Linked DNA regions of Arabidopsis thaliana. The protein of the gene in region 2 interacts with the protein of the main gene of each other region in a biochemical or structural test. Each region holds a gene or a part of one and is shown on either strand. Other genes may lie near its edges.

Region 1 (4,325 bases), on a different chromosome or scaffold from region 2:
AATATGGAAAAGGAGATTACCCATTAATAAGAAGATCGTCGTAGAGTCTCATGCGAGAGTGAGGAAGTGATTTTGAGTCGGATTTGTGGAGTTTTCGATGTGGGATTGATATGGATCTCGAAGAAGAATTTGGTTGAGAGAGGAACAATGGGAACACCATGGGACGTCGTGATCTAGCGGTTGGAGATTGGTGGAGGAGGTTGTTTTCACCAGCTGTGATTGAATAAGGAAGAGATAAATAGATTAGGAGTGAGAACGTCGCGCCGATTGATGAGATCGACGGCAGTGCCATTTGATCTCCGGTTGGATTTTTCGACCGTACCGTCGGAGAAAATTGGAGGGGAATCAAAAGAGCTGAGTGAGTGGAGAGAAGAGGGGAGACTCGAACGTAACTTTAGATCTACGGGAACCAAAAGCAGCTTTCTTTGAGACAAAACCCAGTTATTGAAACGACGTAGCTTTTGTGTTTTTAACGCATTTTTTTAACCTCTACTTTTTAACATCGCTGTACCAGTGTTTATTTATACTGTAGAATGGTTAAATAACATAAAAATCTTCCTACAATTTATTTGAAATCTTTGGCATGTTGTAAGAGATTTTACTCTATAGTAATTAAAAAGTATGTATTGTTTTGTTGTTGTCAGTTTTTTTATAGATTTAAAACGAAAAAAAAAAACTGATTTTCTAGACAATGTATTTATTTTTTGTAAGAATGTAGAAAGATTGATCTAATTTTTACGATAATTTCTAAATTGTCGAAAAATAATTATGTTAACAAAAATCCGATTTGACAGTAATTAATTTTATATAAAAGTGAAGTAATCTACCAAACCTATAGAAAAGGTTTAATTACTATCTATAGACTATAGAGTAAATCTCTTACAACAAGCAAAAGATTTTCAAATAAAAGGTTCGAATGTTTTCAAATAGATGTTAAATCTATACCTTTGTTGATTTTGATACTACATGTTACAAGGTCTCACTAATCATGGTTACTGTATAGCTCTATGAAAGGATTAACATGAAATTCATCTATACAATATGTAAGAATGTAGTTATCCTACATTTTGTTGACTAACTCAGTATGTCTCTTTGTATGATAATGTCTCACTAATCAAGGTTCAATTTTTAGATTTAGACTTGTTATAGATTTTGGTTATGAATCACCAAAACAAGTAACAAATATTTGAGATTTAAGATTATTCCATAGAAATTTTAATTCCTCTGTACATTTTGTTTTTGTTTTTAATTTTACCATAAACCCCAAAAATGAATGCTCTTGAAAATCCCCAATCGATTCAAGTTTTAACCCTAAACCAAAACTACTCAACCTTAGGTGTTATTACTCCACAATCCCTAAAACCACCATTGCCGCCGGATTCGTATAAACCTCCGACGACGAATCCACCACTTGTTTTCTGCATTTCCGCCATGTAACTCCTCACTTCAGCTTTTATCATCTCCTGCACCACCGTCATAAACTCACCTCTACGTCCTTCTCCTCTCTCCTCTACATTAATCTTCATCTGACTCTCAAATCTCGGAAACATCAACGCGTTGTTGTTATTGTTATGGCTCGAACTCGTGTTCTCAGCTCCAGGTAGTGACAAACTCAACGAAGTAGGTGGATCCTCCGAAGACGAAGACATTTCAACCGGTAACGGCTGCGGAACCACCGTAAAACCGCCGGAAATCGGCATTGGTTTAAACAGCTGAGCAACAGGAGACGACGGTGACGGAATCGTGCTAGAATCACTAACATCGATTCCGTTAGGACTCTCAGGACTCATGTACAATCCAGTATCCACCGGAGCAAAAGCAGAATCAAAGCTAACAGATCTCCTCTTCTTCGGCCGATCCTGATCTTCCTCCGTCTCCGTCACCGTCGTAACCGCCACACCTCCGCTGCATTTCCTCTTAAGCGTAGAGTTCCAGTGATTTTTAACGGCGTTATCCGTACGACCGTTAAGAAGACGAGCAATCGTCGCCCACTTGTTACCAAACTGAGCACGGGCGGTTACAATAGTCTCATCTTCCTCCGGCGAGAAAGGACGATGCTCAACCTCCGGAGATAACTGATTACACCAACGTAATCTACACGATTTACCAGATCGACCTGGAATCGATTTGCTAATCGCAGACCAATTCCTCGGTCCGTATTTCTCAACCATCCTTCGTAGCTGCTCATCTTCTTCTTGACTCCATGGACCTTTAACACGATCCGCCATTGAAACAGATCTTTTGTTTGTTTGTTGTAGAGAAGAAGAAGAAGAAGAAGAAGGTGGAGGAAACTGAAGAGAGGAGAAAAAAGGTATTTATAACAGAGAGAGAGATAGAGAGGAGGATGGATAATAACCGGTAACCGGTAGAGACGGTGGAGAAAGTCATGCACCGCTTCTTCCACGCAAGCGGTTTTGAAAGTTTTGGGATACAGCTGTAGGTGTACACGTGTCGTGATCTCGGTGCGTCTGTTTATTAGTTTATGGAGCGTGTGATACAGTCGAAAGAGAGAAAGGGGAAGCACGCGCGCGTGAGAAGAGAGTGGGAAAAGAAGGGAAGTTAAAGCGACAAAATCACGGAAACCTACAAGGAAAGAGCTCTGATATTATTCGCACAATCTGAGGTGAAAAATTAGAAAGCTGTTTTGAATGTTTATTTGAAAAATAATAATAATATCTGAGACGATAACGGTTAGGTTTGGCAGTTTGGGTAAAGACAGTTTTTTATGCAGATTTCTGACTTTTTTGACTGGACACGCCAGCCTGTATTCCTTGTTATGCAAATTTACCCTTTTCTCTGAAACTTTTTTCCTTTTATTTTATTTTGTAGAATACAAAACGACTAATTTGAATTTTTTTTTGAAGTTACATAAGGTTTAAAGTTTATGGGTCGGGAAATATTGGAGGATAAAATTTGATCACAGTGTTCTAAAAATATTTTTGTTTAATTTAAATGTTATTTTTGTTATTGTATTGTATTATTTTCAAATTGGATGATATATTTAAACAATAAAAATAAAACTGAAATTTTTGAAAATATAAATGTGTAGAAAATATAAAACGACATTAGACTGACACAAAAATTAAAATGCAAAACGACATCTAATTTGAAACGGAAAACGTATTAGATGTTTTTATAAAATATGTTTTGATTCGTTGAACTTGAAACGATATTCGTAACGCTTTTGACCAATAAAGTTTATACATAAAATCTGCATAGAATATAAAACGACGTTTAATATGACACAAAAATTAATATGCAAAACGACATTTAATTTGAAACGAGAAAAGTATTAGCTACTTTTAAAAAAGTATTTTGATTCGTTGAATTTGAAACTATACTTGTAACGGTTATGCTACGTTTTAATTATTCATAGATTTCTTTTTTTTTTTTTCTCGAGAATACAATACACATAATTTAAAATTTGTATATTTTTAAATTTTAAAGTAATTGCAAGTATAGAGCTGGCACTCTTGAAAGTAAAATTTTGATTACACATTTTTAAAAAAAAACATTAACTAATTTATGACTGGTTAAACAGTAATTGTAACAGTTTTGAGCGATGAAATTAATATTTTTTACTTCCTTTTGGTTTATCTTTCTAACTGAAAAAGGTTCAAACTGCCTAGTGCTACAAATTTGGGATAAAAATATTTGTATCGTTTATAGAAATGTGGTTCAGTTTTGTATGGTTTTTTTGTCTGTGACTATTTGTTAATGGTACGTTTTTGAATGCCCCAAATCAAAGTCATATAGTATTTACACAATACGGGAAACTACATTTATATGATTAGATACGATTAATATTCTGTTTCATAAACTTGTTACAAAGAAACGGCCACACAAGATAAAAGTAAGTGGTCGGAAAAATAAAAATAAAATTTGCTGACATGGACAACACGACAAAAGAGTGTTAGGCCAATTGGAATGTGAATGAAATCATATTTATTTATAATATATAGTTTTTGATTGACGAAAATCCAGGCTGTAATCCTCAACAAACAACTAACTGTCGTCCATTAAGCAAACTGCCACGTGTCAAATTTTTGGAACTGTTTTTGAAATTGTGTGTAACTGTCTCTTACGTTAGTAACGCACTAAACGTCATTTGCACCTTCTTCCCAACCTTCATCGAACGGTTTCACAACTTATTTTTTAATTTATCTTTTTCCGTATTTTATGTCGAATTAGTTACATACTAATTAGTCAAATTATAAACGGATTACCGAAACTATTTCAGTTTTGATGTTGTTGGTTTTCAGTTTACTGACCAAACTTTCCCTTAATTGTTATTTCTTTCATACTAATAATACATTCTAGTGACG
Region 2 (7,919 bases):
CAGAGGACATCAAAGATCTCAAACCTTTGAATGACCGAGTCTTTATTAAGGTTCGTCCCTTCTGTTTTACCTTAGTCATCTTATTATTGACTCTGCATGCAAATGTTAACTTCTGTTTTGAAATGTCTTGAGTTTAGGTTGCTGAGGCGGAGGAGAAAACAGCTGGAGGGTTGTTGTTAACCGAGACTACCAAAGAGAAGCCTTCTATTGGCACGGTAAGTGCTCACTTGATATCATGTCCATTCGGGGAATCTGATACTTTCTTAGTAGCTTGATGTGATAGTCAGTTCATACACAAGTTCCAATTATACATATTCTCCTCTTCATTTTATGGCAGGTGATAGCAGTTGGACCGGGTTCCCTAGACGAGGAAGGTAAAATTACGCCTCTACCAGTATCAACCGGAAGCACAGTACTTTACTCCAAGTATGCTGGTAACGACTTCAAGGGCAAAGATGGTTCCAACTACATTGCCCTCAGAGCTTCAGATGTGATGGCTATACTTTCTTAGTTATGTTATATCTTTGTAATCTGCAACTTGTATCCCAATTGTGGAAATTTTTTCCGTAAACGGCCTGAGCATAATCTGGAATAAAGACTTGAGTTTGAAAATGTGATTTTATTGCTGATTTCATGTTTTTCCTTCTCTTTTTGGTTACAAGCGGTTTCAGTTGATCAGTTAAACTTGGTAGAAACAGTGACTCACAGCAAATAAAATCTCCGTGTAAACTTAGTGGAAGATATTTTACAGGTAAATGCTCTACAGTGCCCAGTGGAAACTTGAGACATGTTATCAACGAGAAGTTATATTACAAAACGAAGAAAAAAGAATCTTTGTCTGTGAGAGAACTCTTCTGCCATCACCGGTTAAACGAAGTGGCTGAGTTATCATCATAATGACCTCTCCAAGCATTGCCACTGTCACCGCCACTACAAGCTTGATTAGTAACTGGTACACCGGCAAAGTTCCCGTCTAAGCTCATCTGCTGAACCTCAGCTGATGAAAGGATCTTAATGCTCTGAACACAGTTTACGAATTCTCTGCAAAAATCACGATTTTAAAGGTTAGCAAAAAAATAATGGAACTTCTAACAGTCTGATGTGTGAATGTAATTGCTCTCTACTTACTCCCATGGATCATCGCCGACGAGGAGGATGTCATTTTCATGATCGACATAAACAAGTTTCCAGTCAGATGTTTGAGGATCTTCGAGCTGTCCTTCGATCCCAAACATGCGCGCTAGATCATGCCTCAGCTCATCGTAACCTCTGTAACGGTTGACGTCTATTGATCTCCCCACTGAGCCTCGTTTTTGCACCTGTAGGAAAATTTAACATTTGTCAAACCGAAAACATAACCCAAATATCAACAAGCATAGATCAGAGCACAATCGAACCTTTGTATAAGTTCGCATTCGCTGAGTCTGAGCTGGCCACAATCCACCACCAAGAACTCCAGCATCGTTGACAGCTAGATCGTTCGAAATGGCGGGCACATTGGGGACACCAAAAGATTGAGTTCTTACAGCTGAAGTAGACATCTCTGTACCAATGTCATTTGTCACTCCTCCATAGTTTGAAAGCATGTTCTGAAGATCTTTCTGGGAGTCATATCCCCTCGAGAGTAGCGTGTCAGGCACAAAGCCATTATCAACATTAGCTCCACCGAGCAAGCTGTTCCTGGAATCACCGTCAAGGCCAAAAGTTGGAGCCAAGAAATTTTGTTGTCTGTTGTTTTCGCCTCCATCTAAACCGTAAGAAGTTCCAGAGGCAGATGCTTCTAGTTGATGATCTGTTAAACTAGCTTTGGACTTTTGCTGACCCACGAGTTCTTGTTTTAGCCGCATATCGGATTTGCTGTAAAGATCCTGAACAAGATTACCAGACATATCAATCGCTGCATCAGGTATCAAGATCGCTGGCCCGCTTTGGCTTCTGTTGAGAAAGCCTGAAGAAGAGATCTGACAGTTGTTGGTGGAAGGCGACGTTGAAGAGGAAGGTGCATCTCCTCCATCTGTGATGCCTGAATAAGCTTTGACCCCTCCCCCAACCGGTGGGTTTTGTTTTTCCTGAGGTCGGCTCACCAGCATTTGAGGTGGTTGCAACGTCGATAAGCCATTGTTAGTGCAAGATGACGGAAACTGATGACCTTGAGAGAGAGTAGGCAGCTGTTGCAACTGCTGGCTTTGCAATTGATGGTGTGGTAACTGAGACTGCGGCGAAAGAAATTGCTGCTGCTGTTGCTGTTGTAATCTCTGTAACAGCTGAAACTGTATATGCGGCTGTTCCAAGAGACTCTGCTGGAATATCTGTTGGGCCTGTGCCTGGTGAGCTTTCTGCTGCAAAAGTGTTTGCTGATTCTGCCCGTTGAGACCAGGAGGCTGCTGCTGTTCTACTTGTCGTGAAAACTGTGTCTCTTGCGGCGGTGCGGACATCAGATTGGATGAAGACTTGCTGGTTTCAATTACACTACTCTGGCTAGTGCTAGCACCTAAATGGTGATGTGCTTGTTGAAGTTGCTTAGACTGTTGTTGTTGCTGTTGAAAGCTTTGATTAAGGGAGCTGGACGGAGGCGTGATGACACTGCTTGCCATTGATCCCGAAACTAATTGTGGTTGCAAATGATGTGTAGATGCTTGTTGCGACTGATGCTGCTGCGCTGCTTGTTGACCATTGTAAAGCTGATTCTGTGGAACCTGAAGTTGCTGCAACTTATGTTGTTGTAACTGTTGTGGCTGTGGATGCGAGTGAGATTGCAATGGCTGTGTTCTTAGCTGCTGCTGCTGAGTCTGTTGCTGTAACGGTTGTTGATGTTGTTGCTGCAGTTGTTGTTGTTGTTGCTGCTGGAGCAATTGTTGTTGTTGCTGAGACTGCGATTGATTGTTGTTGCTGTGTTGTTGAGACTGCAATTGTTGTTGCTGCTGCAGCAACTGTTGTTGTTGTTGCTGTTGTTGAGACTGCGATTGCTGTTGTTGATGGTTCAAAGAGGAGTGCAACAATTGCTGCAGCTGCTGTTGTTGGGACAACGTAGTTGGTGGCTGAGGCAACTGAGACATTGGGGCTTGCTGATTCTGTTTGTTAAATTGGAGATTTGAGGAGGAAATCCCCCCGTGCGGCGTCTGAAAGCTCAGTAACTTGGAGGGATCATCAGTGCCGCCAAGATTGTTGTGCAGCGCCGCGGTTGGCGAAAGCATTGATGGGAAGAAACCTGGCTGTGCAGCAGCAGAGGGTAGCTGGCCGTTCTGCTGCTGCATATTCATCCACTGAACTAAACTCAGACCAGGAAAGATAGTACTCGAAGGGTCTTTCATCTCTAAGCTATTATCAAGCCATGGCATTGCTCTCTTCAGTGCAGACTCCATGTCAGTCTCATCATCTGCAAGAGCACCGGAAATTCCGTCCTTGAGGAGATTCAAAGAAGTTGTGTCGAAATGAAATGGTACAAAAATTTACCTGGCATTCCAGGTTGTCCAGAAAAGCGAGGTCGGAAAAATGGAGGAGGACATATGTAGAAAGGAGTTAAAACCGGTTCAATGTCCCAAACTGAAACTCGACTGGGCCTATCACCAGCAGCTGACTCATCCCATCCAATCTTTAGCAGAAACAGAAACAAAGCATAACTAAAATGAATGGTGCAATGTATCAAGAAAGACAAATCTGACATTCATCATGAGTTTTACTTCAAACTACCTGAAGATTCCGCCACTGAGAGTTTTTCCATCTCACTGGATCAAGATCACTGATACCGGTAACTGTACCCATATACCGACGAACTCCACATTCTTCAGTCTCAAATATCATTCTAAACCGCATACCGAGGGAAACTTGAGCGTACATCGCTTTGGTATACTTGGCTAAAGGAACCACAAACTCAGCAGGAGCAGCCCTGAAAAAACTCGGTTGTAAATCTCTCAGCAATTGCCATGAAACAAGCATATATAGTAAGGTTAACGTAGACAAAAGGAAACATAGATCGCCACCTCGGGTTGTAGAAAATGGTGAAAGGACTGTTATTAGCATTAGCATGAGCTGCAGCTGCAAGAACTCCGATGTGCATGCTATCACTTGATATTACAGATGAAGAAAGTGCAGGCTGTTGTCTATTTGCACGTCTTATCCCCAACAGAAGTTGCGCCTTTCCATCTCTTAATTGAAAGAAAAAAAGAATTAGCATCTTGACAAAAAAAAATACCGAAAGAGAGCATTGGCACATTGAGATTGATATACCTTATAAAAAGAACAGAGTCTCCAGCAAAGAGCCTTTTCGTGCTGACAAACACACTCCAGCCTGTAGTTAGCAAGTGCCTTTTTGGTTGACCTGATAAATGTCAACATATCCAAAACGTAAGAACAATTCTACGAAAGCCAAATTGATTAAAGAAGGTAATCTACCAAAAACAAGGTAAAACCTCGATAAATATGTCTGAAAGTCCATGTGTTGTCATGAATATCCTTAGCAACAAGCTCCTGACAAGGTGGTTGCATCGAGAAATCCTAGTAAAATATTGCCAACAATGTAAGAAACTAAGGCAATACAGAGATACTAACTATCAGATGTATAAGAAAGTATTGTATATACACCAGAGCAGGAAAGATTTTCTCAGCAGCTCGTCGGGGTACAGAAAATCCACCGTGAGTACTTGTGTCACTCGCCGTGAGGGTTTTGCAGAAAAATTCATTAGGTTGTCTGTTTAGCTTAAGACCCATGTCAGAAGCAAGCAATGCATCTCTGTCATACTGTTCAACAAAATGCTCAGAGCAATTAGTCCCTCCCTACTCCTTAAATACACCTATAAATCGAGTTATTCAGTGAAAGGTAAGCTACTTTGTTTACTGGCTGAAGAGTCATCTGCGCATAGACCTCATCCGTCTCAGGATCAGCCTGGTTCACAGTCGACAATTAGCAAAACATTAGCAACTCAAAAGCAAAAAATGTTAAAACAACTAGCCTAAGAGGCCATTATAGATATTTAAAAGATACCATACATTCAGTGTAACATTGTGGAGCATGCATATGAGCTTGGAAGGAAGATTCGGGTAACTTGGTATGAAATCAGTCTGCTTCTGCATTGAAGCCGCGACCTAAGAAACAGAAAAATAAATAGCAACCACATGAAATTTCCAATCAGCGACTCATTCTTGATCAGCCGCGAATGATACCAAACTTTATTGAACAACATACTTGCTCACTGTGACCTTGAGGGAAGTAAACAACAAGACTTCCTGCTGGAGGCAACGAAATCAATGGCCCAGCACAAGCGTGCCATAGCTCTGAGTTTATATTTCTCCTTTCTCCTGCATTCACACAACATCAAAGCTGTGATTACTTAAAATCTCTAGGATCTTCATTCAGTTACTATTATCAAACCAACAAGATAGGAGAGAACTGCTCTAAACCAACTAAAAGCCACAGTCTTTATAAACCAATACAATAGTAACTTAGCTTACTCTCTAAGCAGAAAATGACCGAAACCAATTCAATTCAGGTTCTCAAATCCAGCAATTCTGAAGAAATGTGTGACCTCTTCTACTTAAAACTTGAATCTATTCAAATCCAGCAATGAATTTCTTCTACTAAAGGATTGACATTTATCAGATACGAGAAACACACAAACCTTCAACAGGATTAGGAGAAACTCCATTTGATGAAGGAGCTTTCATGATCACTCAACTTTACTTTCTCTGAAGAATAAACCCAATAAATAATCTGAATCTGAGCTTATACAAAGCTAAGCTCTTTGCGTGAGAGCTTCATCAAAAGCCCTAAACTTTCACTCAAGTTGTTAATAGCTTCCTAGCTCAAGTAACAGCAGAGAGAATCGTTAATCAGAAATGGGGAACTCCAAGATCTCAGCTTTTTATCTCCGACAGAGCCGCCAATTTCTCGGAAATTTTAAGTATCTCAAAGAGATCAAAAACCACGACTTTTCACACGCGGAATCTCCGGAGAGACAAACAAAGCATACGACCTTAAAAAAGATTCCGTTTTTAACGAAGCTCTTTATCTCGAGTCAGATAATTCAAAAACACCCACAAAGTTACTTGATTCAGCTGCTCTTCTTTGTTTTGCTTTCCTTTCTTGGGGGGAATCAAATCAAAGAGACGGGTTTCTATAAAAAGAAATCTGGAAAATGAATCGAAAGAGAAAAACAAAACTTAAGGATGACCAAGGACAATCGAAGATTAAGACTCAAACGTGAGAGAAAGAGCAACAGAGTTGTCGGAAAGGGATGATCAGCGACCAGGACAACTACCAAAAGGTCTGCTAAAGCACAGGAACAGCTTTTTCTTCTTCCTCTCCTTTTTTTTTCCTTCTCTTTTCTTTTTCCGATATTTTTATTTTTTTATACCTATTTAGTTATGCTCATGAAGCCGACATATTCACTAGCAAACTGGCCACGATTTAATTTCTTAATGTTATTATTGTCCTCTAAAATTTTAACTTTGACACACAAAAAAACAACTTTATTAGTGTTTTCTTTTTCCTTATCTCTGATAATTTGATAAGTTTTTTTCATTAAGGTTATTATTACTGTATCATTTATTGTAATACTTGATTAGGGATAACATAGATTTATAGGGGATGTATTGAAAAAAACAAACTAAGCTGACTAGCTAGTTATTTGATCAAAGTGCGTACATATATGTTTGGCAATTTCTTTTGTAGTTAACTATATTTAATTCAGATAGATTTTAGGATTCATAATTCATCAAAAAATTTTATGATTTTCATTATTTTGAACAAAAGCATTTTACTAGAAATTTTGTGGAGTTTTACATGGTTGGTTCTGAGTTTCATAAACTAGCGTTCATGTTTTAAACGAGAATGGAACTTAAATGTTTAGTAATGAGTTCTATAATAACAAACAAATCTAAATTCGCTTAGATCATCATTATAAACAATTGATCTTATTTTGTTGTAAATGTTGATTAATTGATCAAATCTAAGTACATACAGCATATGCGATCACAAAGAACAATATTTTAACGGACGATTTCATATCAAAAATGATAGAAGTTCTCTCTTTGTTCATGATTCTTTATTGGTTTCTTATATTAATTAACCTAAACTTTTGTCTTTTGGAAGAAGTGTTATAATGTCACACAAAATAAAATTACATATGATGATCACAACTTACACTCTTTTCCCAGTACAGCCATCATTCAAAATTTTCCTCTATAATCGTTAAAATGTCTACCCAAAAAAAAACGGTGATATATATTCCTAAACATATTGGAAAACCGAATATAACCATAAATATGTCATTGTACAAACTACAATCTATTTGGTTTAAGGCCACATAACAAGTTTTATCTACCAAAGACTGAACCTCCATATTCATCACAGACCATTGTAAAATGCATGTAAACCCTTTGAATGACCCCACATCAAAAAAGAAAGTTACAAAACAGTAACCTCTTTGTTAGTTTAGGTTCGATCCAAAACTTATTTGGCAGGAATGCTTAAAATTCTATATACTTACAACTTTAAGTGAAGGTAATATATATGTATGGAATGAATGGATGTCAATTCAAATAAGTGGCAGTGAGTAGCGACATGATGTCCCTGAGCAATAAATGCGTGAAGACAGAAGTTTGGAGATTGGATGAATGTAAGAAGGCCTTTTGAAGTTATGGATTTCGACGCCTAGCTTTTTTTTTTCTTTTTTTTTTGTGAAACTTTGAGGCCTAGCTAACGTTTAAAAAAAGAAAAAGAAAAATGTTAATAGTTTTCTTATTACAAAGTGACCGAAATTTAGTATGAACTCCGAACTACGACTTCATGCATGTATTAAAGTTGGAATGAAAGGAAGAAGAGCGTGACGCATTTCAGAACCGGTTGTGTGTCCGTATGGTGTCCGCAGTGGAAAGTGGAAAATGAACAAGATGAATAACTCATATACTGTCCTAAAGATATT

Evidence for each region.
Region 1: the proteins of NPH4 (region 2) and MYB77 form a complex in vitro, tested with the Arabidopsis thaliana proteins (one study listed by BioGRID).

What each region holds. Positions count from the first base shown.
Region 1 is NC_003074.8:18,556,824-18,561,148, forward strand, and holds MYB77 (myb domain protein 77), read right to left. Parts: upstream 2,504-4,325; 5' UTR 2,229-2,503; coding exon 1,323-2,228; 3' UTR 784-1,322; downstream 1-783. Other genes in the region: AT3G50050 (Eukaryotic aspartyl protease family protein), read right to left, coding at 21-292. UniProt on the Arabidopsis thaliana protein: Transcription factor involved in auxin response. Functions in auxin signal transduction and modulates lateral root growth. Interacts with ARF response factors to promote auxin-responsive gene expression.
Region 2 is NC_003076.8:7,015,844-7,023,762, forward strand, and holds NPH4 (Transcriptional factor B3 family protein / auxin-responsive factor AUX/IAA-like protein), read right to left. Parts: upstream 6,271-7,919; 5' UTR 5,662-6,270; coding exon 5,616-5,661; intron 5,296-5,615; coding exon 5,183-5,295; intron 5,083-5,182; coding exon 4,987-5,082; intron 4,883-4,986; coding exon 4,826-4,882; intron 4,738-4,825; coding exon 4,582-4,737; intron 4,495-4,581; coding exon 4,410-4,494; intron 4,319-4,409; coding exon 4,228-4,318; intron 4,146-4,227; coding exon 3,978-4,145; intron 3,887-3,977; coding exon 3,691-3,886; intron 3,593-3,690; coding exon 3,454-3,592; intron 3,377-3,453; coding exon 1,398-3,376; intron 1,320-1,397; coding exon 1,129-1,319; intron 1,042-1,128; coding exon 861-1,041; 3' UTR 627-860; downstream 1-626. Other genes in the region: CPN20 (chaperonin 20), read left to right, coding at 1-50, 138-215, 338-511. UniProt on the Arabidopsis thaliana protein: Auxin response factors (ARFs) are transcriptional factors that bind specifically to the DNA sequence 5'-TGTCTC-3' found in the auxin-responsive promoter elements (AuxREs).